2 linked regions of the Saccharomyces cerevisiae S288C genome follow. Changing the gene in region 2 together with the main gene of any one other region gives a genetic interaction. Each region holds a gene or a part of one and is shown on either strand. Other genes may lie near its edges.

Region 1 (3,398 bases), on a different chromosome or scaffold from region 2:
TGCTAGTATTATGGAACCTCAGGCGGCTGATGCGGTTTCGACAATGGCGCCTATATCAATGATTGAAAGAAACATGAACAGAAACAGCAACATTTCTCCATCAACGCCCTCTGCAGTGTTGAATGATAGGCAAGAGATGCAAGATTCTATAAGTTCTCTAGGAAATCTGACAAAAGCAGCCTTGGAGAACAACGAACCAACGATAAGTTTACAAACATCACAGACAGAGAATGAAGACGATGCATCGCGGCAAGACATGACCTCAAAAATTAATAACGAAGCTGACCGAAGTTCTGTTTCTGCTGGTACCAGTAACATCGCTAAGCTTTTAGATCTTTCTACCAAAGGCAATCTGAACCTGATAGACATGAAACTGTTTCATCATTATTGCACAAAGGTCTGGCCTACGATTACAGCGGCCAAAGTTTCTGGGCCTGAAATATGGAGGGACTACATACCGGAGTTAGCATTTGACTATCCATTTTTAATGCACGCTTTGTTGGCATTCAGTGCCACCCATCTTTCGAGGACTGAAACTGGACTGGAGCAATACGTTTCATCTCACCGCCTAGACGCTCTGAGATTATTAAGAGAAGCTGTTTTAGAAATATCTGAGAATAACACCGATGCGCTAGTTGCCAGCGCCCTGATACTAATCATGGACTCGTTAGCAAATGCTAGTGGTAACGGCACTGTAGGAAACCAAAGTTTGAATAGCATGTCACCAAGCGCTTGGATCTTTCATGTCAAAGGTGCTGCAACAATTTTAACCGCTGTGTGGCCTTTGAGTGAAAGATCTAAATTTCATAACATTATATCTGTTGATCTTAGCGATTTAGGCGATGTCATTAACCCTGATGTTGGAACAATTACTGAATTGGTATGTTTTGATGAAAGTATTGCCGATTTGTATCCTGTCGGCTTAGATTCGCCATATTTGATAACACTAGCTTATTTAGATAAATTGCACCGTGAAAAAAACCAGGGTGATTTTATTCTGCGGGTATTTACATTTCCAGCATTGCTAGACAAGACATTCCTGGCATTACTGATGACAGGTGATTTAGGTGCAATGAGAATTATGAGATCATATTATAAACTACTTCGAGGATTTGCCACAGAGGTCAAGGATAAAGTCTGGTTTCTCGAAGGAGTCACGCAGGTGCTGCCTCAAGATGTTGACGAATACAGTGGAGGTGGTGGTATGCATATGATGCTAGATTTCCTCGGTGGCGGATTACCATCGATGACAACAACAAATTTCTCTGATTTTTCGTTATGATAGAAAATTTAAAAGTGCAGAATATTCGAAATAGATTCCCAAAAAAAAAAAAAGGGATATTGTGTTACCCAGTTCACAATGGAATTTTCTAGAAGAAAAAACAAAGAAGCCTCGCAACAAACCAAGATGGATTCAAAATGCCTACTTACCGCATTGTATGTGGGAGAATGAACATATCTGTAATTGTATTATATAAAAGTAGTTAGTTTTTTTTTTTTTTTTTTTTTTTTTTTTTTTTTATGTGTAATGCAAATACAAAAAGAACTGCAGGCATTTTGAAAGTTCACTCGTATAGGAAACTTTGATAGAGAGGCAATTCCTTACTTTCGTTATTCCTTTCAGTCTTATTCTTAATCGTTTATAGTAGCAACAATATATCAATATGGTCGTGAATAACCCAAATAACTGGCACTGGGTCGATAAGAACTGCATCGGATGGGCCAAGGAGTATTTCAAACAGAAACTGGTTGGAGTGGAGGCCGGTTCGGTGAAGGATAAAAAGTATGCCAAAATCAAGTCTGTTTCGTCCATTGAAGGTGATTGTGAAGTTAATCAGCGTAAGGGGAAGGTTATATCTTTGTTTGATTTGAAAATCACGGTGTTAATAGAGGGACACGTGGACTCTAAGGACGGATCGGCATTGCCATTCGAGGGTAGCATTAACGTTCCTGAAGTTGCCTTCGATAGCGAGGCCTCAAGCTATCAATTTGACATATCTATATTTAAGGAGACTAGCGAATTGAGTGAAGCCAAGCCACTAATTAGATCCGAGTTATTGCCCAAGTTGAGACAAATTTTCCAACAATTTGGCAAGGATTTGCTGGCCACCCATGGTAATGACATTCAGGTGCCCGAATCTCAGGTGAAATCTAACTACACAAGAGGTAACCAAAAAAGTAGCTTTACCGAAATCAAGGACTCCGCTTCAAAGCCAAAAAAGAATGCACTTCCCTCTTCTACTTCAACTTCAGCACCAGTCTCCAGCACCAACAAAGTCCCCCAAAACGGAAGCGGCAATAGTACATCTATTTATTTAGAACCAACTTTTAATGTGCCTTCCTCCGAGCTCTACGAAACGTTCCTTGATAAGCAACGCATATTGGCCTGGACCAGATCAGCACAATTTTTCAACAGCGGACCGAAGCTGGAGACCAAAGAAAAATTCGAGCTCTTTGGCGGCAACGTGATCAGCGAGTTGGTTTCATGCGAAAAGGACAAGAAACTTGTTTTCCACTGGAAACTCAAGGATTGGTCTGCCCCTTTCAACTCTACTATCGAAATGACTTTCCATGAGTCGCAAGAATTCCATGAAACCAAATTACAGGTGAAGTGGACTGGCATACCCGTTGGCGAGGAAGATCGCGTGCGCGCTAATTTTGAAGAATACTACGTGCGTTCTATTAAATTGACATTCGGCTTTGGTGCCGTATTATAAGATATATTGTTCTCATGTTTCAATAAAAGTATGCGTAAATATTTACATACCACTATTGGCATAGATAGAATGCAATACATCATGTAGTTCTGTACGGCATCCGCGCGGCTCCGATCGCCCGTCCTACTTTTGCGGCCCGGCGCCGACGGCCTCCCCGGAATTTACCAACGAAGAGGAAAATAAACTGGAGTTATAACGCCATTGGCGGGAAACTCCGAAACCATAGCGCCGTGGTCTTTCCCCGGTTTTTTGGCGCCGGGTGTGCTTGCGTTGTGTGAACGGCGCCCTGGCAGCTGAGGGGGAAGGGAAACGCCGGAGGCGACGGCAAGGATGACCATGGCGTCAAGGAACATGCGGAACATGCTAGAATGATTGCCGAAAGGGCGGGCCCTAGTCAATGGCATCATGCGGGAACGTGCAGTAAAGCTCAATGTAACTTGATGCCTATCGGCGTTGTTCGAGCTAAGGACGATGTGATAGACTGAGGAAGGGTGAACGTCGATAGTTAGCCGTTGTGAACTAAATAAAAGTGATATTTTTTCGTTGTTCTTTTCTTGGTTTGGCGGTGTTTTCATTTGTTTTCATGTTTTACTTCGCCACAGGTTTTCAAAGAACAACGCCTTAAAAATAGGAAAACGTTTTCGCTACAGGTGTTGTTATTATTGTTGTTGTGCTGTTGTT
Region 2 (3,001 bases):
ATATGCGCAATTCTCAATATAAACCAAAGTTAGACCCTACTTCTTATGAAGCTTACCAGCATCAAACCCAGCAGAAATACCTGCAAGAACAACAAAAGAGACAGCAGCAACAAAAACTTCAGGAGCAACAACTTCAAGAGCAACAATTGCAACAGCAGCAACAGCAACAGCAACAGCTACGTGCAACAGGCCAACCTCCATCTCAGCCTCAAGCGCAAACTCAATCTCAGCAGTTTGGCGCTCGTTATCAACCACAACAACAACCTTCTGCTGCTTTAAGAACTCCTGAACAGCACCCAAATGACGATAATTCAAGTCTAGCTGCTTCTCATAAGGGCTTTTTCCAAAAATTAGGTTGTTGCTAAATATAGAAATGACATTTTTTGCAAGACTACCGTCTTTCTTACATTTTTTGTAATGTGAATATATCTGTATACTTTACAACCGAAACGACATTTACCATACTTATAATTTTCGAGTTCTTCGCTGTGGACAAGAGATTAAGTGAGATCAATAACTTCGATAAGAGTATCTCCCGGGAGTACCTCGTCATCATCATCAAGGATTACAACTTCTAAGGAGCTGCTAATATTATCACTTATTATTTGATCTTTGTTATTCTTCGTCTCTCCGCACCAGCGATCATCTCTATATCTCCTTTCGGCTGCAAAAGCCGCCAACTCTCTCGGGGAATTACCTCTATCTATAGATGATATACCCTCTGGATGCAAACTCCCTAACTTCACACCTTTGCCCCTTTTTCTCACTATCCCTGTGTTAGTACTTATTCCTGTCATAGGATATCTATTTGAACGTAAGTTTGCTCTTCCACCGAGACGTTGACCGTTCCCCAAAAATGTGTCGTACAAACCTCTTTGTTCAATAACCCATTGCCTTCCAATCAACTCATCTAGCTTATTGTAGAACTTTTTGTCGTGTGGACCGAATAAATTGTGAGTTAATTCGTGCAGCATGGTGCCCATTATACACTCCATGGGTAAAAATTGGAACTCATCCGTGGAGCATCTTAACCGTAACATTATCTTAGATCCATGGTTGACGTTCATTCCCAGGAGTCTTTGATCACGTGGGTAAAACTCCACCAAGTTGGTCACTTTGAAGTGATTTTCCTTCATTAGATAGGAAACTTTATGTGCGATTTCCTTTATTAAATTTAGCGCATCTTCCTTATTGGGCTTACTTTGCAAAACAGCCACTTTTTGAATGTGCGGGTTCTTGTGAGGGATTCTCTGGGAGCCCGCCATATCATGGTATTTTGCCGATGGGCTTTTTATTCCTTCTGTCTTCATTAATCAATCTCTCTTATTTAGAATATCTTCAAAATATGCGTTGTTACAAAATACAGCGCAAAAGAAAAAGTGTCAAAATTTCTTCACCAAACTCACCTTTTGGTATTCAGAGCAAGTGAGAAAAAAAAAATTTAAACAGAGGAGGTTACTAATGGGCAAGAAGAAGAGTAAGAACCAATTAAACACTGGAGGTGTTCCTAATGGTGTCCATAATACCAAGAAAGAGGCAGCTTTGCCACCTTTGGGAAATAAGCTGGGAAGCGCAAGTTTTACAGCTATAAATACGCTGACTAAGCCCGCTTTGTTTTCATTTTATGATGACGATATTACCAAGAATGAAGGTAATGTTTATGACAAGGCTTTATTGTCTAACGCCTCTCAATTGGAAATGGTTCCGCCATCCGCGACTGCGAGACACGAAAGGTCATTGTATGCGAAAATAATCAATACTATTGCTGCATTTTTTATTCTATTCATAGCAGGAATACTCTTCCCCATGATATCAGAATGTTTGTTTGATAATGACCAATTGGCAAAGGGAGATATCGTATCCTTTTTAAAGCATGGTATAGAAATTAAGAACAAGATCGTCGCGGAACCTGACATGGTGCCTGATTGGGCTGTATTTGGTACTGAAGGTGTTATCTTTGGTTCCATAGTACCATTCATTGACTCTTTCGTTCGTTATCAACACCAGCCAAAAACCAGGTCATCAGTTTACAAAAACACCCTAGGATCATTTATAAGATGTGCCAATACTCTTTTGGGCTTAATATTTGGTATTAGGAAACTTGAATGGTCCTCCTCTTTGCAGGCAGCTGGTGCATGGAGCTTATTAAACATTGTTCTGTGGTTGTTCTTTGATGGCACTTTAACCGTTTTTTTCCCAGGTCTAGTAATTGGTGCCCTTAGTGCGTTCACTTGCTCACAATGTTTCTCGCAGTTGTCACTGGCGTTGTATTTTATAGATTTCTATTTTTTTGGGTTTTTGATGTTCAGCAAGTTGGGCAGATATTTATTCAATTAAGTGTTCCCATAGGGGCGTTCAATGATTAGTATCGATGTGTAAATCTTAGCTGATTTTTAGGCCTCAACAACCTTCATTTACTAAGCATGTGAGTAAATCAAAAGGATGACGTCAACAAAAAACACATCAGTAACACAAGGTATACCATACATACATATATATATATATATATATATATTATTTGGTAATTGAATATTGAAAATGCAAGGGCTTAGCCGAAGCTAGTGATGATAAAAAAAAAGTAATACCACATAATATCATTCCTTCATTAGTCATTTATTTGGAGATCTTGGTGGAGGTCCACTTGAGATACTTCCTTGTCTCGAGATAGAATCGCCACCACTACTACTACTCATACGTCTTCTAATAATAGACTCTCTTAAACCGCTAGGATTGGTCACTGGTAGATTATTACTAGAATTATTCACGATAACGTCATCCGACTTAATGACTCCGGCCTTTTTCAATGCATAATCTCCGCTGTCAAAATATTGACGATCCTGCATCTTATGTCTTAACAGATCTTTTTTGGATGGAAGCTTCCCATACATTTTATACAATTTTAGTTCTTGTGGTGACAGCTTCGATAAATCCACTCCCTCTTTGGTAAACCCATGAGGATTGCTCAAATCCACCCTGCTGCTTGTAGGTGAAAGATCCTCTG

Evidence for each region.
Region 1: mutations in WSS1 (region 2) and AHA1 together harm fitness more than expected from each alone (negative genetic interaction), as found in Saccharomyces cerevisiae (2 studies listed by BioGRID).

What each region holds. Positions count from the first base shown.
Region 1 is NC_001136.10:891,211-894,608, forward strand, and holds AHA1 (Aha1p), read left to right. Parts: upstream 1-1,664; coding exon 1,665-2,717; downstream 2,718-3,398. Other genes in the region: UPC2 (Upc2p), read left to right, coding at 1-1,282; YDR215C (uncharacterized protein), read right to left, coding at 2,879-3,292. UniProt on the Saccharomyces cerevisiae protein: Co-chaperone that binds to the molecular chaperone HSP82 and stimulates its ATPase activity.
Region 2 is NC_001140.6:370,058-373,058, reverse strand, and holds WSS1 (metalloendopeptidase WSS1), read right to left. Parts: upstream 1,311-3,001; coding exon 501-1,310; downstream 1-500. Other genes in the region: serine/threonine protein kinase YCK1, read left to right, coding at 1-365; NSG1 (Nsg1p), read left to right, coding at 1,462-2,337; IGO2 (phosphatase regulator), read right to left, coding at 2,610-3,001. UniProt on the Saccharomyces cerevisiae protein: Metalloendopeptidase that acts selectively on DNA-binding proteins. DNA is needed to bring the protease and substrates together to enable proteolysis.